Alligator mississippiensis: one gene and its partners. The protein of the gene in region 2 binds, or shares a complex with, the protein of the main gene of each other region. Links are inferred from orthologs where the notes say so. Each region holds a gene or a part of one and is shown on either strand. Other genes may lie near its edges.

Region 1 (7,897 bases), on a different chromosome or scaffold from region 2:
TGGTTGTTGATATCTAGTATTTAACTCAAGGTATAAGTATTAGCTTTTGAACAGACAGCTCACATTTCACCTCATCTCAAGAAAAACATATAACTAACAACTCTTTATAGGTCCGTCTGTATTCCTTTGGGTTTAGAAAGGCAAGTTCAAGTTTCACTCATCATGAAAAACATGCATCTATAATTATTCTTTATAAGTCCACTTATTCTACTTCTGACTTTAGAAAGGCCAGTCTTGGAGTTTGAGAAACTTGTTATGCTACTTTTTAATCACTTTTAACAATCAACATTAAATATCCCAATTCAAAATACTAGGAATGTTTCATTATGATAAACTAATTCATAATAGTGTTAAGTGATGTTACAAAGGCACTGACATTTAAATACTTTGTGTCCAAAAGCAGGTATTAAGAGTTAAAATTATTATTATTTTTCTTCATTTTCAATGTCTAGATGCCTTCATTCTCAATGGCTGTAGCTGAAATAAAGTTTTTTTTATATTTTACAAGTGCAAACACATGGGGGGGGAGGGGAGGAGGTTACCTCTGTTCTGAGCAGCGCAAGATTCTAGTTAAAGATACGTAGTTTCCTTCGACAGTCCCTTTGCTCACGGTTGGGACTGCTTTTCTGCAAGCCACATATAAAGCACATGCCAGCCAATGTAGTTCATTTCCCTGCAAAATTAAATATTAAGTCTCTAAAACATACATTTGGAAGACTTTCATTTACTTTAGCTACAACAAATGCCCGGTACATTTAAAGGGAATGGGTGTTAAGTATTTAAAAGGTCTACCGAAATGAACCATATTTCAGCTATACAAGATACAGGTTCAAATTGGGTAACATCAAAATGACTTGAAGAGCCATTTAACTTTTTTTTTTTTTTTTTACACTTCAGATTTAAGCCAAAATTCCAGCGTATTCCTATTACAGGCAACCCCTGCTTAATGCGGTTTTAGTTAGCACTATTTTCCTATAGTGCTCACTTGGAATTGATTCCCAATTCCACTGAGCGCTCAGCCAGTTTCGCTATAGCACTCAGTGGAATCGGAGTTTCAGCAGGCAGGAGGGCAGGGAGAAGTGGAAGCGACAACAGTGAGTGGGAGGTGAGTGAGTGGCAGTGAGTGCGTAGGCAGGCATGAGGGCTCAGGGTGGGATGGCAGAAGCCTGGGCCCAGGCACATGGTGCAGGAGCAGGTGTGGTGGGTGGAGACAAGTGGCTGCAAAAGAGGGGAGGAGCGTGGGACCCAAGCTGGTGCCTGGGCTGGCAGGGGTCTGCACCTGGGGTTGGGGTGGAACCTGTGCTGGTGTGTGGGGCCCGTGCCAGGGCCAGTGGAAGCCTGCACCCAAAACAGGGCGGCAAGAGCACCAGTGCCCATGATGGCACTCCATCGGAGGTTCAGCAGGGGGGTGGGGAGCGACAGAGGTGAGTGGCCTGGGGCCCGCACCACTGCTTGGAGCCAAGGCCAGTGGGGACCTGTGCCCGGAGTGGGGCAGCAGGAGTGCAGGGCCCGCATTGGTACCCGGCGGCAGGGTCCGGTGCCCAGAGCAGGGCGGCACATGAGGCCAGAGAGGCCAGTGGGCAAGCAAGGGGGGTGGGGGCAGGCATGAGCGTGGGACCTGTGCTAGTGCCCAGGGCCAAGACCAGCAAGGAGGCAGGAGCATGGGCCCGGGCTGGTATGTGGGGCTGGAGTGTCAGCAGGTGGGCGGGGGAGAGGCGGCAGTGGGGCAGGCAGTAACCAATAAATTTCTATTTACATTTATTTCTATGGAGAAAGTGGTTTCGCTTAGCGCAGTTCCGCTTAACACTCAGTTTTTCTGGAACCAATTAATGGCACTAAGCGGGGGATGCCTGTATATTTTTTTTCCAGCACACGATCATTATAAAATAGCTGTTTCTAGCCAGGATATAATTCCCTGAACTATCTTCTCTTCTACCCATATTATACAATGGAATGATTGTCTATTTAGATAAACAATACACATGTGTGCACAAGCACGCAGACATGCACTGAATTTAACTATATTAAGTATTACCACCACGGGTACGTTCCTTTTTTTTCTACCAGAAGAACTGTGGATTAATACTTTCAGGTTGGACTGTCTAGGTTGATTGCAATAAAAATCAACAATTAGAAACTAAGGAATTAAGAAATTCCTACTTGGTCAAGTTTCAAACTTCTACAGTACTTTGTAACTCAGTCAGTCACAAAGGCAATAGATCCAAGACACTACCTAGCTCTGAGAAGAGAGCCTAGTGTTTTCTGAAGGAATATAGTTTTGGTCAGTCTGTTCTGTCACCCATACAAGATGACTACATCGCTTTAGAGCCATGCTAGGAAATTATGCAGCGCAGAACACCCTGCCAGCTGTGAGGTGCTACCACACAAAATGGATATAAAAATATCTGGTTCTCTCTACACCTGGGGGTAACGGCATGATTGAACCCAACGCGATCCACACAATTTCACCTGCCATGCCACACATGCGTGGCAAAAGGTGCAATTACGGGATCACGCTTAGATCCAATCATGCGGGTGTAGGCGGAGCCTGATCCTGGGTTCCCGCTGCACTGGCAAGCAGCAGGCACCCACGATGGGAGCCCTGGAGGATCTCAGACGCTGGGACCACAGGCGCAGCCAGGACAGAGACCCCGCAGCAGATGGCGCTCGGGGCCCAGGCTATGCATCGTGCCTGGATTTTAGGCTGCCTGAAAGAAGCTGAGGGTCCAGGTCTGGTTATGGCACCCCTGCAGGGGCTGCTCCTCTCATCCCCCAGCTACCCTTCCGGGGGGCGGGGGTCTGATTCTGGTCCCACACGTCGTTACACCCGGCCACAAAACCCTTCCGCCGGCACGAGGCGCGGCCGAGCGGGACATGCAGCGACAGGCCGCAGCGGAGCCCTCTCCGCGCACTTCTGACGGGACCAAAGGCAGGGCCACGGGGCGCCGCCGCCCCTCAGGCCCGAGAGGAGGGGAGGGAGGGGCCCGGAAACCCTCCCCTGCCCCTCAGCCGGGCCCCGCCCCGCGCGGCCGCCGCGCACCTCCAGGGTGTAGTTGCGCCTCATGCCCTGGTAGCTGAGCCAGGCCTCTGCGCGCGCGCGCTCGTCCATGTTGAGGCTGCCGCAGAGCTCCTCGTAGCGCTGCCGCGTGTCCCACTCCTCGGCCGGCGGTGACGGGCATGGCGCGGGGGAGGTGGCCGCAGGCCCCCCAGGCCCCGCTTCGGCCTCCTCCTCCTCCTCGCCCGGCATCTCCCCTCCGCCACGAGCCCCGGCGCTAGGGGGCAGCGCCCCGCGCCTCGCACTGCGCCTGCGCCCGGCCAGGGGCTTCCCGACGCGCATTCGAATCCTAACCCCCCGGCGTTGAGCCCCGCCCCCGCCTCGCCCTCCCATTGGCCAGGGCAGGGTGCTTCTACCAATCAGCAGTCCCCCCCTTCACGCAGGCGCACTCCGTTTTCCACGGCTGCCCAGACCCTCTTCCCTGCGCCCAAACCCGACATAGGATTGTCACTCCCGGCATGCTCTCGCAGCTGGTCCCCACCCCCGCCAGTAGGGCGGAGTTCCGGTGCCTGACTCCGCGTCTTCCACGGCCTTGTGACGTCACCCCCTCCGGCCTGCGCGCGCCGCCGCCGCCGCGGGGGGCGGGAAGGCTGTATGCAAATGAGCGCGGGAGGGAACCGAAGCGGGGTCACGTGGGCCTCCCTTGGGCCAACGCTGAGCGTGGGTAGATCCTATCTCCCTTGCACGGTCGCAGTAGATCCCCTTCTTCTACCTTTCCTTGTCCTTTTTATTAATATCACTTCATTTGTTCTGTCTTACTCAGCACGCCTGCGCGCTGCACCGCTCTCCACAGCACCCTACGGAAGGGTCTGTGTCTCTGAACATGGCAGCCTACCTGATAAGTCAGACGGTTTCTGGAGAGTGATTTAAAGGCACCAGTACCTGCCGTGCAGCGTGAAATGAACAAATGGATCTGTTTGTAGAGACGTGACTGTGTTATAAATCAGTAGTGTCTTTCAACACAGATGACAGAGATAAGAGAAAAAATGAGCTCCTCTCGGTCTTCTGTACTGAAGAAATATTCACACAATAGACATTACAGGAAGTCAAGAACAGTTAAGACTTCTGCTGTGGCTCTTGAGAGAGAAAATATAAACTATGCACGCATCTTTTTTTGGTTTTCTGATAATAAAGTTTCACAGCTAAAATTGTATTATGAAAGCCATGGCTGAGTTTATGAACAAAAACTGGAGGAAAAGGAAGGAATTTAGGTACCTGAAACAATCCAAAAATCTGGACCAGTGACATTTTTCATCTGCTTCACAAACGCTAGGTGGCACTGTATTAGTAAGAGCATGAAAGGTAAATAATCAGCCATTTTTGCTAAAGTTTACTGAGATTCAAATCTGTAATTCCAAGCATCATGTTCATTCAAGTCCATGGCAGTTTTGGCCAGCTTCATCTCCTACTCATTTTAAGGGAAAGCTGGCTCAAGAAAGATAACCAGCAGAACAGAAGTGCTAGACTTCAGAAAAACCAACTTCAATAAGCTCAGAAAATTAGTTAGCAAGGTACTGATGATCAGGGGCATTGATGAGATGGGAGTCCAGGAAGGGTGGTTATTCCTAAAGGGAACGATCCTTCAAATGCAGGAGACAATCCCATTGCGCATGAAAGGGGGCAAAGGGGCCAAGAAACCCTCTTGGCTGAACAGGGAAATCCAGGAAAGCCTAGGGGCAAAGAAAGGGGCATACAGGCTATGGAAGCAGGGGGCAGCTACCAAGGAGTATACCTCCTTGGCTCTCACTTGCAGGGAGGCAGTGAGAAAGGCCAAAGCAGCAATGGAACTCAGGCTGGTGACAAACATTAAAGACAACAAAAAGTCCTTCTACAGGTATATAGGGAGCAAAAAGGCGGCGCAGGATAACATAGGACCCCTACAGAGCAGACTAGGGCAATTAGTGACAGATAGGAGGGACAAGGCTGAGCTTTTCAATGAGTTTTTTGCATCTGTATTCCTGACCATGAATCAGGACATATCTCCCAACCGGATTGTAGATGAGCACAGGAGGGAAACCAGCCCACTAACTGTTAGTGCTGACTTAGTGAAGGGACACTTGGAGGGGCTAGATGTGTTTAAGTCAGCAGGCCCAGATGATCATCCCAGGGAGCTGAAGGAATTGGCCAGTGTCATAGCAGTACTGGCACGATTGCTTGAGCGCTCATGATGCTCGTCAGGTCCCACAGGATTAGAAAAGGGAAAATGTGGCCTCTATTTTCAAGAAAGGGAGGAAGGAGGATCCAGGTAACTATAGGCCAGTTAGCCTTATCTCTATTATTGGGAAAACCTTTGATATAATTATTAAAGGATCACATTTGTGGGAGTCCAGCAAGAATAATGCCCTGTGTCTGTTCATGGCCTGGATCCTGCCAGTGATCCAGCACTGGGACTGGTGCAGTGGACACCATCCAGCCATGTGGAAGGGGTAGGGGGCAGCCCAGTTATAATCCTGCAACACAGGAGGAGAGTGTTGCTTGGCCCCATAGAGAAAAGGGGGGCTTCACGGTGTGGGGGAGGCCCCATCCCAGCCCCATGAGTAAACCGGGCAGGGCTTGACCCAGCAGGCAGGAGAGGACATGGGAAGGGTGTGGTTTAGCCCCAAACCAGCTCTGCAAAGGGGGGGGGGGGAGGGGGAAAGAGTATGGTCCCGACCCAATCCACCAATCCAGATGTGGAAGGTGGAAGAGGTGTCGTGGATTGGCTGTGAAGTGCAGTGCAGTGCACAGTTTGGGGATTGGGAATTTGGCAAGGTGAGGGTGACTGTATTAATGGCCACTGCTTCCCTGCCACCAAACTTCCCACCCCATGGACAGCTCTGTGGGCCAGATATGATGGCTCCGTGGGCCATGTCTGACTCATGGGCCAGAGACTGAGCACCCCTACTCCAAATGATTAAACTTCCATTTACAGCCCTAATCCTATTGGTTTTTAGATATGGAAAAATATTTAGTACTGCATGTTCAGAGGAGACTTTCAACAAAGAAAACTTTCATACATAATTCATTGAATTTTCCCCCCCCCCCATGAAGAATTTAAATCCATTGAAAAAATAACTTGCTTTTATGTTATCGGAAGTTATTCAGTTTGAAATCAGCTTAAAATAAATATCTTTTAACATATTAACTCTATGCAACTGCTTTCTGCTACCTCTCCTTCACTTTTCAGTTCTATCACAGATCTTGTGAACAACAAACTTCTGCTACCAGTATTACTGCCTACAGAAAAATACCCAATGTAGACACCACTTAAATCAATGAAGCCCTGGTTTGAGACAGGAGCTTCTAAGTGGTACTGAAATACAAATACTTTCTCCCTTCCTTGAAATGCTCAGAAGCATTACTGCTGAACATTTGTTGAAAAGGGCTTTTGTGAGTACATGGAATGATGTTACTTAAAAGAGTATTCAAAAGGAGTAAGTAACTAAGCACTGAGTAGTAGGATTTGTGTGTTATACTGTTTCTGGTTTCCACTTCAGATTAAACAAACCTTTTGAACACAGTGGTAACAAAGTTAAATTTCACTGACAAGGTTGTTTTCTAGACCTCTTGCTAATTTTATCTACATCCCATTGGGCTTAAGCTAACTGGGAATGGGCATGTCTACCGTGCATTAAGGCACCATAGTTACTGTGCATTAAATTCAGTACTTGTAATAACAGGTACTAACTTGATGTGCAGCAACTAGTGTAACTATACAGTAGTGCCACCACACACCTTTTTAGTGATGGTAATGCTTAGTAGACTAATTTTACTGTGCATTAGCACGGCTTTTGCCGCGATGCACTAATGTGCAGTAGAATTAGTCAATTGCGCATTTAGCGTCTTGTGTAGATGCATCAAATGTTATCAGAAGTTGTTCTGAAGAGAAATAAGACAACTAATTCACAACTGCCTGGTTATCCACTTCTAGATATAGCTAGATTGGCTGAAATAATGGAGAAATTGCAGTGTAAGCTGAATGGGTGGCAGGCTTGATGCCAAAGGGAATCTCAAAATTTTTGCCCAGGGAGATGGGTTGAGTCCTAGTACACCAGGATGCTGCTGACATTAAACACAACTAAACTAAAAGCTGCTCCCAGAAGGACAGAACTGATCTCCAATTTATTTTGCTAGAACAGGCACAGCAGAGATCAGACAGCAGGAAACAAACTGCACAGCAGTAAATCAAAACTGTCCTGTAATCAGCTTTCATCAGGAACAAAGCCTGAGGCGAGGCAGCCAGTTAGCAGGTGTTGGTGGAAGCAAGTGCCCTACCCCAAGACTCCTAAACCTTGACAGAAAAGATCCAATGAATTATCTAAAACAGTCTCCCTCTCCCTCATATATATGAGGGAGACTGTTTTATTTATATATAAAAAAAAAATTAAGGTGGCAGTAAGAGGGAGGCCCAAAGCAGACCATATCTGGTTCACTTACATGAGGGTTTTGCACCTTTGATGCCTGATCAAAGATGAATTGGGCAAGAGGCAGGGAACCAAGTCATGCTGTCAGAGAATTAACTGTTGCACCTGGAACATGTGACCAAGAATATCTGTTCCTTCTTGTATCCCTTTCTTCTCCCACTTTATGCATTTTCTTTCCATCTGGAAGAACTCAAGAAAACTAAAAGGTTGAGGAAGGGCTCTCTGATTCTAGGACTAGGACAAAAACAAGTCAACACAAGGAGAGAAGAGTGGTGTCTGTCTGTCTTATTTTTTTTAAACCTGCTTCTTGGTAAGTGAAGTCATACCACAGAGTTTCTGATTCATTCTAAGAAGCATAGCTGGAGGCTCTGGCAGCAGTGATTTTACCTATCAGTGATTAAATCAACTGAAAACAGACTCCACAGTATTTCAGGAATGT
Region 2 (7,745 bases):
CAAGAAGGGGTGGGTACAAATGTAATGTTTATATTCTACTACACATGTGGAAACATTCATCATGTGACAATTGGCTTGTATGCACATCTTTGCACAAATTAAACCAAAAGCTTGTTTCTGACGACTGAAAGTTAGTGCGTGTGTGTACGTAGTCTGTGTGGACATCCGCAAGAGAATGTATGCAACTCACAGGTGCATATTAAGCATACAGGCATGTTTGGTGAATATTGATGTACTGGGAAAGAGCCTCTTTCAGGTGTTGGCTCTATATTCTGTGAATGCATGAAGATGAACGTGTTGGGTGCATCTATGTGGGAACTTGCACATATACAGGAATGTGCCCATGTATGGGATGCATATCTGCAGATGCTGCATCTTCTGTCTGAGTATGGTATCCTCTACTTTGACTGGCTCCCTTTAGAAATAGGGCTGACCTTCTCTACCCTACCCCTTTGTTCATATATACCTCTATCATGTCCTAGTGTAGGTTTCATCTCTGTTAGCTGAACAATTCTAATTGTTTAAGATTTCTCCTCATATTAATTTTTCCATGCATCTAATTACTTTTATTGCCCCTCTAGATATTTTTACTTCCTTGGTATTTTTTCAAATAAAAGCAACAAGAATTTGAACCTCGTACAACAGTGACAGCATTACCGTGGAAGTTTATAATTGAATTATTTATATATGGTATTATTCTCAGCCTTGGGGTCATGACAGTTCTTCAGCAAGGGGTTGCACCATGCCCCCCTTGAAAAATCATGTGAATCACAGATTCTAAGTGCCATAGAAACTCGGTGCCATACTGGGTCAGACCAGTCCAGCCCACCTGAGCACCTGTGCCATGGTCCAAGTTTCACTGGATGGCATTCACTAGCTCCTTGGACTTGTTTGAGGACCGGCAAGCGCTGGCTGCTGTACTCTGATCAGTGTTCTCCCCTTGGAATACACACTATAAACCTGTGACTCATACTCTAGTCCATGTTCCACTTTAGTTGTCCTAAGTTATCAGTTGCTTTGCCTCTACTGGCCTCCCTGATTAATGGAGGCTTTGAGTTCCCTTGGTGGGCCCAGGCTAATGTTTCTCTGGGCATAACAAATAGACCTGTCTGTGACAGCACCAGGAGCAGCAAATGCTTTAGAGCAGGACTGTCCAACTGGTGGCCTGCGACCTGTGGGAGGGTAAATTGCAGCCCCTAGGCTCCCCCTGTCCAGTTAACTGTTCTGGATGCTACTGCGGCCAGGGTCTCCAGATTCCTCCTTCTTCTCTGGCCTTCACTTCCTCCTGCTGCCCCAGGGTGCAGGACAGCATGACTCAGAGCATCTGGCTGACAGCATGCCTTCAATGCTGAGGGAACATGCACAACAGGGGAGCATACAGCCAAAGACATTAGGGGCAGGGGGCCACCCACCTGCTTGTGCAAGCAATAGCAGCTGGGGACAAGAGAATATCTGTCCACTTATAGAGTGCAACAGGCAGGAAGCTGTCTGTCATAATGGTGCCAAGGGAGTTTGTAGCTAGGGAAGTTAGGGGAGGCCATGGCCCTTATGGTATGCAGCGTGGCCCCCAGCCAATAAGCTGGACAGCCCCGCTTTAGAGGGAGGACATATGAACAGTGTATATCTATCATGATCTCTCTATCATGCCTGCTCTGGCATCCACCATCATTGGGTTAGAGGTGCCAGAGGATACATCCCCAGCTCTTCTGTTTAAGATATTAATGGATCTGTAATCCATGAATTTGTCTAGTTCATTTCTGAAACTTTAAAAGCCAATATAAATGTTTGTGCATCATAATGCCTAGAAGTGATTTGAAAAAAAACAAAACAAAAATCAAACAAAAAAACCCAAACAAACCAATATTAAGTAGTTGTTTTCATTGGTTTGTAAAAAAAGAAAGTCGGGCCTCTCTTTCCTGCCTGGTTACCATTTATTTAGAGCCACCCATCTGCCAAAGCAGTTCAAGCAATTATGGGCACTGTGTCCTCCTTGCACTGCTCTGCACTGGTCTTAATGTACGGATTGGTTCCCCAGGTGCTTCATAGATGAGGGGCTGGAAGGGACCTCATGAGATCGAGTCCAGCCCCATCTGACATAGGCGGAAAGTCTGCTGGGGTCTTCTTCCGATGACATTACACTATTTCCCTTCAGGCCTTTTGCTTGTGACGAAGAGAAGTTTCCATCACAATCCTTATGCAACATTCCTGATGTCCTTTATGTGCTGCTCACTCCAACCTTACGCTCCTCCACCACATCGGCTACATTTTTGAGGTGTAACACCACTTTGTGTCATTTCTCAATCAACGAAGTCATTTTCCTTCCAGTCCTGCTTCTTTTTTGGTGGCGGCATCCACACACAGCACTGCCCACCTGGAGATGCCGACCTGCCTTTCAGTCTATTTTTGTTTGCTCAGGCTGCACCAAAAGTGGTGTCCGGTCAGCATGTGGTGCCCGCACCAATTTCTACACCTGGTCACCTGTACAGCAAAATGTCTATACAGACTAGAGGGTAGGGGAAAGAGGGTCTTAACTTTTTTCTTCTGAGGCTCAAGATCCCCCTTTGCAAAATGCCAGCTTATCTTACAATCTTCCCCTCCCCCTGAGGGCAGACAAACACCAGCATCACCCGACTGTGGCAAAGAGTCAGTGGAGCCTGCGCAGGTAGGGACACCCCACATCCTTAATGTGAACCTCTGGATTTGTCCCCAAATCACCCCCCAAACAAAACGAGCACAGCAGGGCACCCCACAGCACCGGGGAAAGGACCCCTGGGCACCCAGGGGTGCCACAGCCCTGGGTGCAGACAGGGCAGGGATGGGCACAGGAACGTAGCACGGGGGGGGAGGAGGCCGCGTCCAGCCCCGCTCACAGCAGCCCCAGCCCCCGCTGCCTCACCCCTGCCCGGCGGGGGCATCTGCGGTCCTGGTCCCCCGCCGCGCCGGGCGCTGTCAGGGCCCCGCAGGGCAGCGGGTCCCGGCCCCCCCCATGCCGCGGGCAGGGGCCAGGACAGGGGCAGGGGCAGGGGCAGCCCCGGCCAGAGGAGAGGGGAAGGGGAAGGGGAAGGGGACAGGCCGGAGCGGAGGGGAGCAGGCAGGGCCGGCGGCGAGGGGCCCAGGCAGGCACTCACTCTCGTCCGGCAGCTGATCGAGCTCCGCCATCTTGAACGAGCCGCGCCGCTTTTTCAAAGGCTGCCTGGCGCGGGGCATTGTGGGGCGGCGGCGGTAGGCGGGGCCTGCGCGCGGCGCTGAGCTGACTGGGGCGGCGGCGGCGGCGCGCGGGACGAGCGCGCGGGGCGGGGCCGGGCCCCCGGGCAGTGGTCTTCGGCTCCCCTGTGCTTCCCGTCTGTCCAGCGCGCGCTGAGGGAGCGGAGTGTACCGTTCGGGCCCGGGAGCCAGCCCCGGTCCGCTCCACACGGGCGCACATCCACGAGACCTCCACTCCTACACACACGACACCCCCCCCCCACCCACGAGCCCCCTACTCCTACACACATACCTGAGGCCCCCACTCTTAGAAAAACACCTATGGGACCCCCACTCACACACACACACACGGGACCCCCACTCCATACATGCTTAACCCATAGGACCCCCCCCACTCCTACATACACACCCCATGAGACCCTCCACTACCTACATGTGCACACCCATGAGACCCCTATTCCTACACACACCTCAGACCCCCACTTCCTTGCACACCCACTCCTATACACACATCTGAGACCCCCCACTTACCCATAGGACCCTTGCTGTTACACACACACCCACAAGACCCCCACTTCTATACAGGTATGCACCCACAAGACCCCCCACTCACACAAACACCCATGAGACCCCCGCTCCCTCCACACATACACCCACAAGACCCCGCTCCCTACACACAAACACACCCCCATGAGACCCTCACTCACACGCACCTGAGACCCCCACTCCTACACACGCCCACAAGACCCAAATTCACACACTAACAGTACATAACAAATAAGGATTATTATTACTAGGATGAGATTGGTAACAATGAGAATAACAACTATTAATAGTAATAATACTAAATAATAATAAAAAGTAAAGAGTGGTGATGAAAGAATAAAGCTCCAGTACATCTGTCATAAAGATTTTCCATTTCACAAGCCTTTCCCTCTAATAAACGAAGGGAACCAGTCAGCCAAGTCAGTTGCACTGAGGATCTCAATGGCTTGAGTGGAAAGGAAGCCTGGAAATTATTTCAGTCCGAGATGGTAAAACTGGCAGGGGTCTGTGTTCCCAAAGCCGCAGGGTGGCAGAAAGGCCTTGTAGGAAGGGACTTCAGCCCTAACTAAATGACAAGCTTACAAGTGCTGGAAGAAGAGAAGCTAGGAGACCAAGAAGCACAGGGTTAAAGTGAGAATCGCCCAAGTCAAGCAGAATTAGATTGACCGGAGTCAAATATAACAAAGAGCAAAACATTCTTCAATGACATAAAAGAGAAAAAGGAAAGTTTAGAGGGAGCCGCTAGGTCATGAGGATACACAGAAATTGAGGATGCTGTGTGCGTGAATCAAAGGCCAAAACAAAGTTAGATGTTCCTTCGATAAGGATGACCTTGTGGCAAAGGCAAGATAGATAAGAACGAGGGCATCAAAATGCAAATAACCTCAAATTAGATGGGAGCAAAAGTCAGAGTATAATGCAGGGGTAGGCAACCCCTGGTACACATGGTAGAATGTGGCACTCGAAGGCATTTTACTTGGCACGTGTGCCTCGGGGCCGACAGCGGGGAGCCGCAAGGGGCCTGATCCTTGTAGCAGGGAACCCCGGGCCCCTTCCCCCCTGTCCGTCTCAAAGTGCACATGCACCCACTGCCACCAACAAGCTGGGCCAGGGCTCTGTGGATCCCAGTGCAGGTGCTTGCAGTCTCCCTACCACCTGCTGCAAGCAGCCCAAACTCCATGGTTGGTGGCAGGGGCCTGCAGAGCGCAGGCTGGCTGTGGTAAGCAGCCAGGAGGCTGCAAGTGGCTGCATTAGGCTCTGCGGAGCCCCAGCCTGGATCACTGCTGGAGGCAGGTGCACACATGCCTTGGGGCAGATGGTGTGGAAGGGGCCCAAGGCAAGGGCTCCATGGCCACAACAAGGATCAGGCCCCTCGCAGTTCCCTGATGTCTGCCCCTGGCATGCCAACATCTTCCAAGACAAGGTTGTGGGGTTTTTTTACTCAAAATGTTGCTGATCCCTGGTTTAATGCATTCAAGCTGAGAAGACCTGGTAATTCCCAGAATTCTGAAAGAACTAGCCCATTAAATAATAGGTCCAGTAGAAAATTTTTGAATACGTCTACTAAGTTGGGTCTGGTACCATTTGATTAGAAAACAGCAAATATGGTACCTATAGTTGAAAGGAAATTTTAATTTGGGCAACTACTCTCCTATTAGTTTTAAAACAAATTTTAAGAGAAAGAGCAACCAAAGTGGATGGGAATGGAAAATAGGGTAAAATTCAACATGGGATTGCCAAAAATAGGTTATGTCAAAGTAACCTGACAGCTTTTTTTGATAACTGATTTTCTAGACAGATTAAATATATTTGATCTCATTTTATCTGTGCTTCAGTAAATGCTACAGTACTGCATGAAAAATTATTAGCGAAGCAGGAGAAAATAAGGATTAGGAGAAAAATTATGAGGTCAGCAAGGACCTAGATAAAGAAAACACTGGGTAACCCTAAGAAGGAAAATATCAGGCTGAAAGGAGTTTACCAATGGAGTTTCTAAAGGATCAATTTTGGGACTAATCTTGTTTGTATTTTAATTAATGATCCAGATATTTAAGTAAAAGTGTGGTGACTCCAAAGTGTAGGTTTCATAGTTTCATAGTTTCTAGGGTCAGAAGGGACCTGAACAGATCATCAAGTCCGACTCCCTGCCCTGGGCAGGAACGAGTGCTGGGATCATAATACCCCAGTGAGACATCTATCCAACCTCCTCTTGAAGACCCCCAAGGTAGGGAAGAGCACCACCTCCCTTGGGAGCCCATTCCAGAGCCTGGCAGCTCTAACCGTAAAGTAATGCCTCCTGATATCAAGCCTGAACCTGCTCCCAATCAATTTGTGGCCATTATTCCTTGTTAACCCAGGTGGTGCCCTGGGGAACAGAGCCTCACCTATTTTCTGCTGGTCCTCTCTGGTGAGTTATGGATAGCCACCAGATCCCATCTCAGTCTCCTCTTGTGGAGGCTGAATAGATTCAGGCCCTTTAGTCTATCTTCGTAGGGCCTGGCCTGCTGCCCCCACCCCCCCACGCGACCATGCAAGTGTCCTTCCTCTGGACCCTCTCAATACTAGCCACATCCTTCTTGAAGTGCAGCACCCAGAACTGGACACAGTACTCCAACTGCGGCCTGACCAACGCCACATAGAGAGGGAGGATCACCTCCCTGGACCTGCTTGTGATGCACCTGCAGATGCACGACAAGGTGCAGTTAGCCTTACTGATCGCTTCATTGCACTGGTGGCTGATGTCCATCCTGGAGTCAACAATGACTCCAAGTTCCCTTTCAGCCTCTGTGTTGACAAGAGGGGTGTTCCCCAGCCTACAGGTGTGTTTCTGGTTCCTTCTTCCTAGATGCAGCATCCTGAACTTGTCTGCGTTGAATTCCATCCTATTCTCATCCGCCCACCTCTGCAACCTGTCTAGATCTAGCTGGATTCTGTTCCTCCCCTCCAGTGTGCCCACTTCTCCCCACATCTTTGTGTCATCAATGAATTTGGACAGTGTGCTTTCCGTGTACACCTCCAAGTCACTGATAAAGATGTTGAATAGCACAGGCCTGAGGACTGAGCCCTGGGAAACTCAGGTCCAGAAGAGGACTAGAATATCTTACAGGAAGAACTGGATAACCTTGAGAATTGGAGTAACAGAAATGAAATACAATTCAGTAGTACAAAATGCAAGGTCACGTACTTGGGAACTAATAACAAAGTTCAGCTGGAAGCTAGGATCCTATCACTTGGGAACAACTGATGAGGACAACTTGGGTGTATTAGTTTGTCACAAAAATATTATGACCTGCCAATCTGATGCAACTATAAGGCAAATGCAATCCTAGAATGGATCGGTAAAGTTATTTCCAGTAGAGGTAAGGAAGCATTAGGGTTATTGTAAAAGAAACTAGGAAGATTTTGTCTGGAATATTCTACACAGTTCTGATTACCCATGTTCAAGAACGATGAATTCAAACTAGAACAGATGCAGAGAAGTGCTATTAGGATGATAAAGACAAGGGAGAGCATATTAGAGGAGACTAAGAGAGCTCAATTTGTTTGTCTAGCAGAACAAAGGCAGAAAAACTTGGAACACAAACAAGTGAGTATAAATTGGCAATGAATAAACCTAGGCTGAAATTAGAAGGTTCCTAAGAGTAGAGAGGTTTTGGAGCAGCTTCCAATCAGCCCCACCTCCCCCTGGCCCCCGGCACACATTTGAAAGATGGAAATTGGTAAATTTGTGGAGGGGACACCAACAGTTGACTGTGTGTGGCATCATCCATAGTAGACTAGTGAACTCTCCAGGAGTTCCCTTCCAGTATTTTATCCTAATTATAATATTTTGTCTGCAAGTAACCCTACAACACCTATGCCATTTAGTTCAGCAACCACAACTACTTGGTTAAACAAATCTCTCAGTATTCTTTTCTGTCTTGCAGTCACCATGACCTATCGAGGGAGAGTTTGGGGTGACAGAAGACAGGTCCTACCCTAAATTTAGAGAATGA
Region 3 (7,530 bases), on a different chromosome or scaffold from region 2:
GCACTCTTTCCTGCCTATGCAGGGGTTCGGACTCGATGGTCTATTGAGGTCCCTTCCGACCCTAACATCTATGAATCTATAAGGTCCATGTGACACGACAGTTAGAATACCAGGTGCTTGCGGCCCTATCCAAAGTAACACTGTCACTATAATAACCATAGGTGGAGCTTCAACAGTGGGAACAGTTAGGGGAGGAGGGGCGATGAGAGTACATGCAGATAGGCCCTGAGAGAAACTCACTCAGGGTGAGGCTTTTTCCTTCCATAATTTTCTAACACTGCCAAAGCATTTCTACCACTCACTTCCACTGGATACTGTTCTTGGATTTCTTCTCAATGAGCCCAATGCCCTCCAGTACGTTGGTGATGTCATAGATTCGCCGTTTCTGCCGCACTGCCAAGGTATCTGCTGCCTGTGGAAAAATCAAAGATGGACAATCGGTTCCAGACTCCTTCTTATGCTCCATCCTTTCGCCAGGCCTGGACATCATACCAGTACAGATCAGGCTCTATGATTCTGGTGGCATCTGTCTCCCACCTCAAGTTGCAAATTAGATTGTGTGTCAAGGGACATGAAACCAGTCACTGATCTACTCTCTGACTGCTAATTATATCTTCCCTGCAATTCAGTCTTCAACCCAAATCCCCTATTAATCACAAACTAAATCCTAACCATCTCCCCAATCTCATCTGGTTCTGATGCAGACTGGACAACCTCCTGACAGCAGAGTCATACTAAGAGAGAGTAGGATTAAATGCTCAATTCTACAGGAACTTTGTGAGGTGACCTTCCAATTTAATGTACACTCTACTGGAATGGCAAAACCTTGAGGTTAAGAGGAGGAAACAGGGAGGTGAAAAAGCTGGAGGAAGAAAACACTGACACTAATCCTGCACTGTCAGGAACAGGTCTGGATATTCCAACAGGTCTTTTCTATCTAAATGTCACAAGTCTTGGTATAAAGTGCCAATACCTCTCCTTCATATAAGTTACTAGTATCTCTTAAATGAAGGTTGCTCAACCAATATTACAAAACGCCATCCCTTGGCCCTCAAAATTTCAGCCACCATGCCTCACTTTTTTTTTTTTTTTGAGGAAAAGGAAGGTTGTGAGGAGGGGACTCATGTAGTACTTGATGTCTCCAGATTTGTTTAGCACACTTCTGAGGCAGTGTCTCACCCCTCAAACCTAGGACCCAGTCTCCTCACAAAACTCTAATTAGCAGAACTGATTTGTTAATAAGGTCTGCTCACACACAAAACACATATTCTCTTCCATTCTCTCAACAAACCTCTGGATGCCCATCAATTTGCTCCAGTTCCCATCCAAAATAATCCTGCAAAAATGGGACTGAAATTGGTGTCACACTAGCACAGAAGTTACAGATTTGCAACAACAAAACTGGCACCAACACTCTAGGTGATACTATACATGCACAGGTCACTGAAGAGTTTTCATGTCGAGTCAGCTCTCCATGGCAGTGCCAATCATTAGTTCAAGTAATGCTGACAAACAAGAGTCCCATTTGCAAGCCATTTTTTAGACAAAGCAAGCATACCTTTTTTTGACAAAATCCAAATGACTTTGCTTTGTATGCAATAGCAAGAAGTGGATTCTATGGGTCCTTTCCACTCCTGTATTTCTATAATGCCTCTTGTATCTGACTGGATCTATATGAAATGGATCACCAGCAGGAATACAGATCCACACACACAACATGAGCATAAAATACACGTGTAAACACATTTTCAAGTGTGGACAAGGCTTGGGTTTAAACATTGGCTATAGTACAGAGTCCACGCTGCTTTCTTTAAAAAACAATGATCTCCAGTCAACACCTAGGCCAATTCTCTTCTCCCTGAGCCACCACAAATGCCACAGAGCACAAGGTGAAAATGATTTGCCTATAGTTTATGGAAGTGATAGGTTTGGCCCCGTCTGAATGGCTGTTTTAGCTCCGAGGACCAGAAAACAATAAAGAACAATACTTTTCTCTCAAGGGCTCTGAACAATATATTACATCACTCTATTTTCATTTCTTCTGTGTGCAAGAGATCACTAGGGGAAGACAACCAGGATTTGGGCTGTGGTATGAAAGTGATATAGAATACAACTACATCTGATTCACGGTATTATCTGTGTTCAAGGCACTCAGCTTTCATGCTCTCTCGCCAAGACTACAGCTTGAAGGAAACCAAGATGACTGAACATGAACCAACACTGACTGAGATAGTGATGCAGGGTTGGAGGAAGCAGTCAACACAGCAGAGATGATACCTGCCCTCTCTGACTGAGGTCTGTCCTAAACTCAGGAGTTCTGCTGCATCTGTAGCCACTCTCAGACCCGAAATAAATTACTTTTCTCTGAATACAGCAAGCCAACTGCAGCTTTTCCAGATGCACTTTCCATTTCAGACACTCCTTCATGGGATCTTAAGAAGCTGCCAAGCCTCCCAGATGGCAGAGATCACACCTGCTACTTACAGCACCGACTGCAGCACAATAAGATACCGGCAAGACTCACCCCAGTGCCCACAGTGCCGCTGCCCAGACAAGAAGCGCCAGCAGGAGAAGCAGTTCTCAAGACTGAGCGCTCTGCATTAGCTCTCTGAACAGCGACGTAACCAGGCAGCTGGATGCACTTACCCGTGGCCACTGTGCTGGGTACAGGGCCTCACACCTATGCTCTGGGAGAGGGAAGACAGGCAGCTATCCGCAGCCCCCCACCTCCCTCCCTCCCTGCAGCAGCTCAATGAAGTAGCTGCCAAAGGCAAAGATGGCAGACCTCAGCGAGGCAGACGTGCACCTTACAGGCCAGCAGACGACGGCAGAGAGAGCCCACCAGCTCCTGTGCCTGGCGCTGGCCCAGGGGCCGCCCCGCAGGTGTGAAGTGGAGCGAGACTGGGCGGGGCCAGCGCGGAGGAAACGCAGCGGGCGCTGCAGCACGAGCCGAGGCTGCCGCCGTCCCCCAGCCCGGCCGCGGCTCCCCTGCGCGGCCGCTGCCCCCGCCCCCGCCCCCGGCCCGGCCCCGTCGCCAGGCGCCGCGCGGGCGCTGGCACTGAGCGGCCCCGGGACACCCCCGCCAGCCGGCCCGGCCCGGCCCGGCCCGGCCCGGCCCGGCCCCGCACCAGCTTGAGGTCGAGCACGCCGTCCTTGGCCTCCTGCAGCAGCGACACGAACTTGGTGGTGAGCAGCCCCAGGCTCTTCTCGTGCCGGCTCGGGGCGCCCCCCGGGGGCTGCGGCCCGGCCTCCGCCATCTCCCCGGCCCGGCGGCCCCGCGCCGCTTCCGCTTCCGGCCGCCGGGCACGACGGGAAACGCCGGCCGGGGGGAGCGGGGCCGGGGGCCGGGCCCAGCCCCGCGCCTCGGGGGCCTCCCGGGCAGGTGGGCGCTCCCCCCCCCCGTGTTGTGCAGACGTGTCTCCGCGCGCCCAGGGCAGGCCCAGCACTGCCTCGCTGGTGCCACGCGGCTGCGCGCCTGGCGGGAGGGTCGTGGCTGGCGGCGGCGGCGGCCGGCCTGTGCGGTGCGCGCTCGCCGCCTCGGCTCGTGGCAACTGCCGGCCTCGGGGGCGCCGGCGGCACTTGGCAGTGCGCGGAGCGGCAGGGCAGGGGAGGGCGCAGCCTCGTCTTGAGTCACAGTCGTCCTTTCTGAGACCGGCCCGTCCCGTCCCGTCCCGGTAGCTTGGGGGCGAATGGCACCCCAGCGCTTTGTCCCCATGAAAAATGCAGCCAGGAGGCAGGTGGGTCTGGATCAACATCGTGGTGGGTTGGCTTATGTCCTTTGGCACAAGCCCTAAATATACAACAGCTACAAACATAAAATCTGAGCTTTAGTTTTCTTTTGGAAATTTTGCATATTTTTTCCTTTTCTGTATGTGTTACATGAAGCATCTCTCACAAATTCATGGGAAAGGTACAATTTCCAAGAGCTACATTCTGATTTATATAACAGTACAGCACAAAACCAATGCATCGCCCAGTAAACAGACTAGAAACTGGCTCACTGATAGGCCTCAGAAATGAACTGTGGGGTGGCCATCAAGGGACCTCAAGAATAGAGGACAGTTTCATTTAGTGCATAGGGATTTTTTTAAAACTAAATTTAGTGCTAATTCATAATAACCACATCTATAGAAGCTACCAAAAAGTTAAATGTTCGAGTGTTCAGTTTGTGTTTTTTTGACACAATGTGATGATATACAGCTCCGTTTCCTGGGCTGCTGACATCGATATCACAGGGTACAGGATGTGTGATGTTCACCCTTTCTGCTTTTCGCTATGAAATCACATTCTTTTGACCATTCTGAATTGAAGGTCGTCTTGGACATTTTGAATTAAGGGTGATGTCAAACTGATTTTGAAGACAAACATTTAACGGCAGGAAGCAACAGCTGTAACGTAAGGACGTCATTAGGAAGCATGACAAATAGGATCTTTGTTGGCATTCTCAGGTCCGATACAAACACGGGATTGATTAAATGTCAAACATATTGACGAATGAAGACAAGCCATCTTAAGTTCAATTGTGGGTTGAAAGGTTGAGTGTCTCCAGAGAAAAATAGAGGACATCAAGGCATCTGGTTTCATATCACTAGAGGACAGAGAACAGAGTAGCAGAAAACCAGACTGTCCTCTATAAAACCGGATGAATGGCTACCCTAGTTAAAGGGGAATGGGTGATCTGGCTTTAGTCTACCAGTAATCAGTATTTTCAGTAATGATTTAGAAGAAAGTCTGTAATCATGGAGTATTGAAGCTTGTAGGTGACATGGAGGAGCGTGCAGTGGTTAATACTGATGAGGAGAGGCCACAAAGGTCAGCACAAAGAAATCTGCTGATATAGAGCTGTCAGAATGGGATTTTTATGACTTTTCAATGCCAGCAAAAGCTTTAGTGTAGATGCAGGTGTATTAGCATACAAGTGCTTTTGCTGGTATGGATTTCACTCAAGGAACTAGTATAGGCTATACCAGTGGTGCTCAACCTTTTCCCCCTGTTAGTCGGATGGGCAGCGTCCTGTCCACCTGCAGGCTGGATCCCGCCAGTGGTCCTGATCTGGCACCAGGGTGGGTGGGTGCAGTGGGCACCATCCAGCCACGCGGAGGGGAGTTGGCGGGGGGGGGCAATGCAGCCACAACCTGGCCCTGAAGGGGAAAGAGGTATGGCTTGGCCCCATGAGGGGAGTGGGGTGGAAGGGTAGTGGCCCACCCCTAAACTGGTTTGGATGGGGAGGAGAGAGAGCATGGTCCAGTCCTGATCCAGATGTGGGGAAGGAGGCATGGCCCAGCAGCAACCAGCAGTGTAGGACTTGGGGTTTAGGAATTTGGTATGGGGAGGGTGACCATGTTAATGACCACTGCTTTCCTGGCACCAAATTTCCCACCCCATTGGGACTCCTGGGGGCAAGATATGATGGCTTGCAGGCTATATTTGGCCCATGGGTTGGAGATTGAGTAGCTTTGTAATGCATCTACATTTGCAACATGCTGTCATCTGATCCTTAATACTGATTTGCAAAAAAAGGCAATGAGATGGGGGCAGGAGGGACCCACACACTTTTTTGCATTAACTCTTTTTCAATTGGCCATGATGCTCTGGGCAAATGGGCTAACGCAATTCTTAGATGTATAAGCTGAAGGAAGGAGGTGGGATTAACTCTAGTTAAAAATAGGGTTCAAGTGAGCCACAACAATGATTGTTGAGTACTAGAACTTAGAAAACTCAGTGTATTTACTTGCCAAAGAAAGATGATGAAGAGGCAGCTTGATCTATAAGTACCTACATGAAGAAAGGCTTTCTGGTAGCAGAGAGCTCCTTAACCTAGCTAACAAAGGTAAAATGAAATCCAGTGACTTGTAGTGAAGCCAAATGAATTCAGAGTAAAAATACTGTATGCATTTTAATAGTATGAATGATTAATAACACATAATTATTTTAATAGATTAGAACTCTTTGCCAGGAATGTGCTAGGTTGTATATGACTTAAAAACTTCATTAAATGGACATTCATTGTCTTTATAAGGGACGTGTTTCAGCCATAGATTTGCAGGCTAGGTACACGAATTACAGAACAAAAAACCTTTACCTTTTGTTATACAGGAGATCAAACAAGATGGTTCTAGTGGTCCTTTCTGGTCTAACAACTCCTAGATCTGATTGGGTTTATATGTTTCAAATAAAATTGCACCTTAAAGTATGATAAACAAGCTTTGATGCCAAGTGAAAACTGTGAAAGCTTGTCCAGACCTACAAATGACATTTAAATGACCAAATTAAAACAACAGTGCATCTTGCACAAGAATGCAAGATTGTGACTGGGACCATGCAAAATAAAGCAATCCCATTTGATTTAATTTCTTGTGCTAGTTGCAAATGTACCCAATGTTTTATTATGCTAAACCACTCATAAATAACTGTATATTCCTATGTGACTATATCCTCCTTGCTGACACATTCTCCCTGGATTAAGGCATATTTGTCAGAACAGTTATTCAGTGTTTGTTTGGAGTTTTGCAAATGTCTCCATAAACCATCACCAACTTAGACTATTTTGGGTTCTGCCCTATTGTTAAAATAACTACCCAAAACACTGTTCTGTGATCAGTTCTACAAGGTATCTTGTTCAGTCAATCAAGACCCATCCTATTTGATTGAAGTGTAACCTCTGGACTGATCAAAAGTTTGGAAAAATAAGTTTCACAACTAGACGACCCAAAACAGGATCTGAGCAGTTAGTAATTGTAATGTGGTCCCTCCCTACCTGCTTTGTTTGAACTTTAATTTACTAACTATCAAGAAGGAATGCTTTGAAGCTATACAGTTAAATTGTATAAGAATGAAAGAGAGTTGCTGGCAAAAGTGTGCACTTCAGGAGAGAGAGAAAAATCTCTGCAACATTGTAATGTGCACCCAGCCCGATTGAACCCCCGGCCCAGCGCATTAGGCAGGACCCTGGGATACGTGGAGTCCAGATCCCAAGCAGCAGCAAAGAAGAGACCAGGATCCTGGTGTACACGGATGACCTGAACATCCTGTGCCACAATAAGTGGTCAGTAGAAAGAGCCCTGTGGCGCGCACAGGTTTATGAAGTGGTAGCAGGGACCAAGGTCAATGTAAGTAAAAGCATCTGTCTGGGTGTGGGAGAGCTTGGGGACCTAATGTCCCTGGGGGTCTCTGTCCCTCATGAGGGGGTCAAGATCCTTGGGGTGGAGTTCAACCCTGAGCTGAGTGGAAGGAAGGCATAGAAAAAGACAAAGGCCAAAGTTAAGCAGAGGTTGGGTCTGTGGCACATGCGCTGCCTCTCCATGGGGAGGCACCTGGCACTCATAAAGGCAGTGTTGCTACTGGTGCTTCTGTACACCGCAGTGGTCTTTCCCACTTCGAAGCATCTCACCCACAGAATCTAGAGAGCCATGTGTGTCTTCTGGGGATCCAGATGGGAGGCGGTGGCAAGGAAGACCCTTTACAAAATGAAATGGACTGGGGGCAGGGGAATGCCAGACATCCTCCTGTTCCTGTGGGCATGGTACACGA
Region 4 (8,651 bases), about 170 Mb from region 2:
TTCATAGTGCACCAATTAACCTTGTAATTTTAAGGCCTCTTAAAGAGCAATAGCCTTCATTTTGGCAATAAATATTCTTTGTATACTTGTGCTATGTCATGTTCAGTTTCATTATCCAGTAGAGTCCCAGTCTTGCAAATGTAGGTACATACTCCACTTCAGCAGGTATATGCAGTTCCACAGAGGTTCCATGGGACTATGTGCAACCTTACACACACACAAAAGTCTTCGTAAAATGTGAACCTAGAAATATATTGATACTTTTTCTCTTGTGACTCATCCTGTTATTTACTAAGGACAGAAGTTAGGCTTTGGACAGTGAATCTCAATTTTTTTTTCCTTTATGAAGATTAAAAAAAGTAAACAATACTAACTAGTACCTGAGTTTTGTATTACTAAACTGGCTTGGATACACCAAATTTGCCAATGAACCCAATGCCTTACACCAGGGGTTAGCAACTTGCAGCTTGCTGAGCCATGAATCTGGCCTGTAGAACCGTGGCTTTGGTGGCATTCAGCAGAGAGAGCTCTCTGCCTGTGTCATGGCAGAGTCAGCTACCAAGGGCTTCAGTGGAGGGGAGCATTGACTGACCCATATTGTGGTCAGGAGTTTTGATGGAGTTCTGCCTGTGCTGCACTGTGCCCTAGACAGCTCGGTCCTATCCTAGCGCCTCAGACCTGAGCTGGGTCATTTTGGCCCTGCTGCCAAAAAACATTGCCAACCTCAGTCTTATGGTCTGCATCATTGCAACTTGATTAGCAAAATATAAACTCACCTTACAGACTCTTAGGAACCACAAAAATATAGGGCTATAAAGGGACTGAAAGAGATCATACAGTCCAACTTTCTACTCCAAGGCAGGATTAAGTATGCTTAGTTTATTCCTAACAGGGGTTTTATAACAGACAAAGTTCCAAAGGAAGAAAGATTCACAACCTCCTTTGGTAGCCTGCTTCACTGCTTTAAGTACCCTTATCCTTAGAAAGGGTTTCCTAATACCCAACTTAAATCATCTTTGCAGTAAATTAAACTAATTATTTTCCCCTACCCCTGTGAACAGAGAGAATAATCAATCACCTTCTTTATAAATGAACTTGTACATATCTAAAAATCTATTATGGTCCTGCCAATCTTCTCTTCCTAAACACATTATATTTTATGCTGTTTCTCCCTCTCAAATTATCCTCATATGCATTAATTGTGTAAGTTCTTTTATTTTTTTTGAAAGGATAGATTTAAAAACAAAAATAACTTCAATATTTCAGTAATTTCAAACTCCTTAATTTCACCCTCATTTAATAGCAGGCCTTCTTCCTTTTTATCCCCTGAGCTTCTTTAGCTATCTGTAACACATTTTGCTACCCTTATCTTTTCCTGGCAAGCTCTCAGCAACTGTGTATTTTGGTTGGTTGTCTCCTCATTCATTAAGTCAGTCTTAAGGTTTTTCTTAAACCACATTTTACAGAAATCCTTGCCACTTCGAGGATTGCAACAGTTCACATCATCCTCAATTAATTAGATCAAAATCAGTTTTAATTAAAAAAACCCAAACAGCTATGCATGTTCTCTACATTTTTAAATCTTTAGGATACACATCTTGATATACAAATGAGAATATTTAAACTTCTTGGTATCTTGCCAATAAGGAAGTCCAATGATAATAAAATAAGGTAATAATTTAAATTAAGAGTGCAGAAGATGAATATTCTTATTGTACAGAAGGACATTAAAAGTGGAAAAGGAGAGAAACAGTTTAAAAGATAGTCCCTTTTCATTATGACTCACCTTTAGGTTGAACAGCTTCAATTGTGCAGCCTACGGGGAAATCCCCCGAAGCCTGAATCCTAATGGCCCTAAGTGGCATCATTTTGGTAGTTTCAGAAGAAAGGTGAAAGAACGAAGGCATGGAGACTGAACAGCTTACATAGGAACTACCTCAAATATGATGTGGCTCTTAAATAGGGTCGAGTCAAGGCATGGCAGTGATACTCATCTGTCCCTCTGTATCACTCAGAGGTAACTGGCTGACAACTTTGAATGCTAATAATAAATTAATTCACTTGTTTGTTTGTTAAAAAAACCTGGCACAATAATGAAAAATCAGGTTTTCAAATCCCCAACAAAAGCACACAAAATGCCAGCATCACAAATGCTTTTCAGCAAGATGGTGGTTCTTGTTATGCTGCACTGAACAAATGGCTGTAGGTCTTTTCAAATCTTAAACTCCCTCCGCCCCGGTTCTAGAGCTCATAAAAATTCTATCCCGAGCTTCCTCCAGGAGCAACAAAGACAGCGCAGCCCCCACCCAGCGCGGTGCGGAAAATGCACTCCCACCGACACCGATGCCATGGGCACAATGCTCAGCCCGCTTCGTTCCCATGCATCACCAGACACGTGGAAACGGGCTGCTCCCGCGCACTCACATCTTTTGCCATGTTACCAGTGCCTTGAAACCAACGTCGGGGCCTGCTGAAGCGAAAGGAGGCAAGAGTCCAACGGCCTAAAAAAGAAGAGAAAGAGAGAGAAAAACACCAGCTTTAGCTAGGAGGTGGGAAAAGTTTTGGCAGCACTATTGGCACAGGACCACACAGGTGATTTCTCTACTTAGCGAAGTGGTGCTGGGACGCTGAGAACAGCCCTGGTCCCCTCACAGCATGGCCAACCCCTCTGATGGGGCCGTCTCCCTCCCACCCCACCCCCACTTTGGACACTGCCCCCCTTCCCCCTCCCCGGCTTAGCCCTTTGCAACCCACTCAGCCCCAGGGGCGACCTCCCCCCCATGACTCCCAACAGCCCTCGGGGTATTGCAGCCAGACAGGCAGGCAGGTGGGGCAGGGCCGGGTGCTGTCCAGCTACCCCCGCTCCAACCCCCCCCCCAACGACCGCACACGCGCCCCTCCCCCACACAGCCCTCCGCCAACCTGTCACGGCGGCAGTCGCAGGCCCTAGGCCTCAGGGGCCGACCCCAGCGCGGCACCCCCACCCTCGTCCCAGCCTCGCAGCGAGGAGCGGCTGCCGGGCGGTTCCGCTGGCGGCTCGGGGCCTCTGCAAGCCGCCGGGGCCGGGCCGGGCGCGGGGACACGCGCGGGAGCCCCCTACCCACGTGCCCTCGGGGCAGTCCCTCCCCCCCCAGCAGCAGCAGCAGCAGCGACCGTTGCCCGTTGCCCACCCCCCGCCTCGCGCACCTGCTCACTCTGCCCCCCAGCTCCCCGCCGAGGGCGCCCTGCGCGGGGTGGCCGGGGGGAGGGGGAGGGGCCGGGCTGGGCTGGGGGCGGGGCCCCGCACGCACCGCCCGAGGGGGATCGCGCCCCCTCCCCCCGCCCCTACCGTTGGCAGGAAGGAGGATAAAAAAAAAAAAAAAAATTGAAACTTACACTTTTGTGCGTCCCCCCGGCGTGACGCTGCGCGCTGACGTCACGGGGGAGAACGTGCCTCGCCCGGCCAGACGCGGGGAGCCCGGGGCATCCTCCGCCCCTGACGTGGGGAGGGGGGAGGGAAACGCGCATGCGCGAGCTTTTCGCGCCTTCCGACTCTTCCTGTCTCGCCCCGCCCCCCGCGGCGGCCGCGCGGGAAGCATGGGCGCGAGAGCGGCGCGGCGGGAGGCTGTTGGCCTGCGGCACGTGGGCTCACGCGAGGGGGCGGGGCAGCAGCGCCCCGCCCCCACGACGGCGGTGTGGGGAGGGAGGTCGGCGTGGTACTAGGGAAAGCTCTCGCACTGCTTTTCTCCTCTCTCCCACTCCCACGGGTGTTCTTTTAAGCGAGGGCTGGCTGCCTTGCTGTCAGCACCAGACCTCAGAAGAGCTGCCACGGGCTGGGTGCTGGAGCCGAGGCCCATCTTGCCCGGTGGCAGAGAGCGGGTCTGTCTGTGGCCAGGATTTTCTCCACTCTCCTGTATTAGGTGCAGCTTCCAGGTCCAGGTCGCTCCTCTCTCCCCTGCTCGCTAGCTCCCGCTGCCCCATCCCTCTTGGAATCCTAAATTCTCAGCTCAAGAATTAGGGGTCACAGCATGGAACAAGTTAACACAAGGCAGTTCTTTTTCAAGCCTGGTGTCAAGGATGTGGATAAATTGGAAAGTCCAGCAGAAGGCAACGAAAATGGATTGGGGGCTGGGGCACACGACTTCTGAGGAGAGGCTAAGGGAACTGGGTTTGTTTAGTCTGGAGAAAACTGAAGCGGGATTTGAGAGCAGCCTTCACCTACCTGAAGAGGGGGTTGAAAGAGGATGGAGCTAAACTGTTCTCAATGGTGGCAGAGCAATGATCTCAAGCTGCAGCAAGGGGAGTTTAGATTAGATATGGAGAATTTTTATGCATAGCTTGTACTTGGTACCTGCCTACCTTACAAGTAGGTACAAAAGTACTGCTTAGAAGTGTGTATCATAGAATCAGAGAAAATTAGGGTTGGAAGGGACTTCAGGAGGGCATCTAGTCCAACCCTCTGCTTAAGCAGGACCACCCCAACCAGATCATCCCAGCCAAGGCTTTGTCTAGATGGGTCTTAAAAACCTTAAAGGGTTGAGTGTCTACAACCTCTCTGGGTAACCTGTTCCACTACTTTACTACCCACCTAGTGAGAAAATTCTTCCTAATATGTAACCTAAACTTCCCTTGCTGCAACTTGAGACCATTGGTCCTTGTTCTGTCATCTGCCACCACTGAGAACAGTCTAGCTCCATCCTCTTTCAAACCCCCCTTCAGGTAGTTGAAGGCTGCTTCAGACTTCTCTTTTCTAGGCTAAATAAGCCCAGTTCCCTCAGCCCCTGACCCTGAACCGTTTTCATTGCCCTCTGCTGGACTCTCCAATTTATCCACATCCTTGGCACGTGGCTTGAAAAAGAACTGCCTTGTTAACTAATTTCATTTTGTGACCCCTAATTCTTGTGTTGTGAGTAATAACTCCCTAGTTACTTTCTCTTCACAGTTTAGTATTTTGTAAACCCTTCTCATGTCCCTGCTTAAGCATCCCTTTTCTAAACTGAACAGCCATAGCCTTTTTAGTCTCCTGTGGAAACCCCTCCATAGTGCTAATCAGCCCTGTTGCCCTTCTTCAGACCGTCTCCAATTCTTCCATGTCCTTTTGAGGATCAGAGGGGTAATGAGCCTTCTGCTAAATGCTGTACCCCCATGTTTCCACCCCTACCTCTGAAAGAAGATTAACTAGGGACAGAAGAAAAACATCTCATTTAGACTCTATCTCTTCTTCATAAAGACTGCCTCCTGTCTCACCATCATAGTCAGACCTTCCAGGCCACTTACTGCCTTTCTGTCTAAAGCAAGAACCAGCAATGTTTTTTCACAGAGTGCCAAAAGCAGCCACAACCTCATCTTGTAAGGTGTTGATGTGCCGGGGCGGATAGCAAAGGAGCTGCAAGGGACCTGTGATACTTGTGGCAGCACAGCCCCTGTCCTTTCCTTACCATATGCCCCAAGGCATATGTACCAAGCAAAATGCCTTCATGTGCCACACTCTGGCACCTGTGCTGGGGGTTGCCGACCCCTGGTTTAAAGTACTACTGAAGTGGTTAAATTAAAAGGTACAGCACTTGTTTTTCCTCTTACTGGTGCAAGAGTGCGTACACAACCCTTGTTTACAACCCCCACAAGTGTTCCAGCACATTCTGGGGGGTTAATGACTGCCTTCAGATATATATACCACTGAGTATCTTTTTCCTTCAATACTACAGCATTTACCCCTGCACTTTAATCTGGCTTTTCTTCATGATAGTAGTGTTGGTCAGTGTTTTTCTTATGCTCTGCTGTTTAATTTTCTTTCAAGTGTATTTTCAAAAGAGAATAGGTCACTCAAGTTCAGGCTATGGAAGCATGACAGAATTGTGCACAAGATAGCTTATTTTCATGGTGTCATCTCTCACTAGACTTGGCCTCAGCCTCACTCATATCAGAAGATATGTGAGAAGAAATGGGATATCTGTTCCATTTAAGTGCAGGGCCTTCAGCACTGAAATGCCTTCTGCCATGCAACAGGAACTCAGTTGTTCCAAAGATAAATGTGATGATCTCCTATCATCCTGCACTGAAGGGTCTTCCTCAGCACATCCGAGTAATAAATATTGCAATACAGATTTAGAATAAGGCATTTTATCTAATGCCAAAAGAGGGGCAAAAACAGTGACTGCTCCACAGGGAAGGATCTCTCTCTCAAATTCTTAAAACTTCTCAGGACATCTGACTGAATCAAGAGTCGGTCCCATTTATGCAAATTACATTCAATATCTGGACCAGCAACATCTGTCCAAATATAGCACATGTGCACATCCGTGTTTCAAGCCAGCTAATGACCAAAATACCACTCTCCTTTCATGTGGCTGTCTTAATTTCAAAAGAAAATGAATAAAAGATAGCTCTTCTTTGACATAATCTACTCAATAGCATAAGGAAAAGTTCTCCATAGCAGATTCATATTTTATTCTGGGTTCCTGCCCCCCCCCCCTTTTTTTTAAACAGGACATTTGGAAAATCTACCAATATCCTGGCATAAATTAGAGCTTCATTTAAGTGTGAAACAGTAAGTTATTTTGACTGCTATACAAGTAAACAGGCTGATGAATTCCTTTTGTAAACTGAATGTCCGATGCTGAAATAAAAATGATAAAGCAGATTCAAAGTTTCTTTCTATTAAAAGAAAGTTTATTATCTGAATACTATTTGCTTAGATAGTGGATTCTTGTAGATTTAATAATTGGCATGTTAGATTCTAATGTACATATGCAACATGCATCTTTCTATAGTTGACTCACAAAAATGGCAGTTTCATATGACAGTACAATACTTGATTGAAAATGTTACTACTGTACATATGTCTTTACAGTTATTAAATACATCTTTGTAGTGTAATAAAAACAGGACACAGCAGATAAAAAGTCCCAAGATGAATCACTTTAGTTTCTCTGAGCAGACTACATTCTACGACATTTAAAGAAAGGGCTCTTACAAAGTTTACTCTATAACAGACTAAAAAAAAAAATCCAGACTCATATAACACATTCAAAACATTGGTGTTTAAGACACTCAAGTTGATCCAATATTGATGCAATGTAATTATGCCAGTTTTCAATGCATACCCAGAGTTGTCACTTCCTGTGTTGTTCAAAATAATTTAACCAAAATAATTTGTAAAGTAGAATCAACATTGACATCCAATCTCAACAACTTTTAGTAAGTAATTTAAATGTTTCCATGTCTAGTTCAAGTTCTCAGAGTTAGGTTTTCCATACGTACACTTTTATTTTGGTCTCAATGAATACAAAGTATAAACAATCAGTAAAACAGTAAATCAATAATTGAAAGTGTTGACAGTTGGAATTAGTCTTGAAACATAAATTAGAAGTCAGGTCACCCCTAAATCAACCTTTAGGTCAGAAATATTGTCAATAAATAGAAGACGCCAGAACAAATAAAGTTACAATACAAATAAAATACATAAAATGTTTTAAAAAATATCATAAAAATCAGAGTATGAATGTATAATGCTGGCTGCATCATTTTGGAATATGCATTTTAGCACTTAAAGCTTTATGCCAGAGCTGCTAAACCTTATTTTTGTGTAAATGTCTAGGCTTTACACACCACTGAAAATGTTTTGCAACCAATGCAAAACCAGCATATTAACTCTTAAATATTACACGCTTAAATTGCTCAAGAGTTACATTAAGAAGGTACCATAGGCACCATAAAAATAACTTGATTTTTTTAAACAAGACTTTTATGAATGAACAGTACAAGATGCAAATCAATGTAATAAAAAGGCACATCAAGGCAAAATATTCAGGGTGATTTGCATGATACAGTATTTAAAAATATTTTCTACTCTGTATAACTGATTGGATCAAACACAAAAAAGTTATTCTAGCAGATTCTAATATGACAGTGTATTTTGTAAAAGCTGTGCAATCATCAGTATACCAAACATTTTTTTTATGTAGTGTCAGTATAAGGCTCATAACCAAGTGCATGTTTAGATAAATATTCCAAACCCTCTTGCTTTCTAACTGCATAGAGATACAATGAGCTACGAGGAGAATCTCTGCGAAGACTTTTTTCTTTTTAAATTATTAAAAGTCTTGTCAGGTACTTAAGCGTCTTTCTGGCCTTGGTACACATTTCATAATTCCAGCTCTCCACAGTGCAGGTGCAAGTAAAAGACTTAGCGTAGTCACACTCAAGATAAGGAGGTAGACCTGAAAATTAAAAATCAAAATGTAACTTCTACAGTTCACATTCATAGATGCACAATAGATTAAGAAAAGGTTGAAAGGCTAATGAGATAAGTAAATTAAGAACTTTTCTGGACCACTCTTCAGTTTGACTTCTAAGTCTGATCCTGAAACTGAACATGCCTGCAAATACAAATGCACATCATACTTAAATTTAACCATGCCTCCCACATTTGGAATGTATGTACAGGCCAATTTTGAAAGCATAAGGTATGCAAATAAAGGCACTTGTCAAATACCAAGCATCTTTTACATTCAAAAAATAGGATTATTTAACAGCAGAATACTAGTCATTTTATAGGCAACCAAATAATAAGCCATGCATTGGCTGTTCACATTTATTCTGGAGACACAACTATACATTCTGAAGTATGTTGTTAACACATTATAAAATGCAAAATAATGTAGAGAACAATG

Evidence for each region.
Region 1: LIN9 (region 2) and RBL2 share a complex: the UniProt entries of both Homo sapiens proteins name them as parts of the DREAM complex. The link is inferred for Alligator mississippiensis from reciprocal best matches to the Homo sapiens genes LIN9 and RBL2.
Region 3: LIN9 (region 2) and E2F4 share a complex: the UniProt entries of both Homo sapiens proteins name them as parts of the DREAM complex. The link is inferred for Alligator mississippiensis from reciprocal best matches to the Homo sapiens genes LIN9 and E2F4.
Region 4: LIN9 (region 2) and TFDP1 share a complex: the UniProt entries of both Homo sapiens proteins name them as parts of the DREAM complex. The link is inferred for Alligator mississippiensis from reciprocal best matches to the Homo sapiens genes LIN9 and TFDP1.

What each region holds. Positions count from the first base shown.
Region 1 is NC_081833.1:48,731,114-48,739,010, forward strand, and holds the start of RBL2 (retinoblastoma-like protein 2), read right to left. Parts: upstream 3,326-7,897; 5' UTR 3,248-3,325; coding exon 3,041-3,247; intron 2,731-3,040; exon of another isoform or gene 2,526-2,730; intron 674-2,525; coding exon 543-673; intron 1-542. UniProt on the Homo sapiens protein: Key regulator of entry into cell division. Directly involved in heterochromatin formation by maintaining overall chromatin structure and, in particular, that of constitutive heterochromatin by stabilizing histone methylation.
Region 2 is NC_081824.1:179,696,464-179,704,208, reverse strand, and holds the start of LIN9 (protein lin-9 homolog), read right to left. Parts: upstream 3,236-7,745; 5' UTR 3,208-3,235; coding exon 3,129-3,207; intron 1-3,128. UniProt on the Homo sapiens protein: Acts as a tumor suppressor. Inhibits DNA synthesis. Its ability to inhibit oncogenic transformation is mediated through its association with RB1. Plays a role in the expression of genes required for the G1/S transition.
Region 3 is NC_081833.1:31,514,461-31,521,990, reverse strand, and holds the start of E2F4 (transcription factor E2F4), read right to left. Parts: upstream 3,258-7,530; coding exon 3,129-3,257; intron 413-3,128; coding exon 303-412; intron 1-302. UniProt on the Homo sapiens protein: Transcription activator that binds DNA cooperatively with DP proteins through the E2 recognition site, 5'-TTTC[CG]CGC-3' found in the promoter region of a number of genes whose products are involved in cell cycle regulation or in DNA replication.
Region 4 is NC_081824.1:351,498,874-351,507,524, forward strand, and holds the start of TFDP1 (transcription factor Dp-1), read right to left. Parts: upstream 3,498-8,651; 5' UTR 3,376-3,497; intron 3,305-3,375; exon of another isoform or gene 3,187-3,304; intron 3,013-3,186; exon of another isoform or gene 2,923-3,012; intron 2,502-2,922; 5' UTR 2,437-2,501; coding exon 2,425-2,436; intron 1,882-2,424; exon of another isoform or gene 1,787-1,881; intron 1-1,786. Other genes in the region: TMCO3 (transmembrane and coiled-coil domain-containing protein 3), read right to left, coding at 8,085-8,198. UniProt on the Homo sapiens protein: Can stimulate E2F-dependent transcription.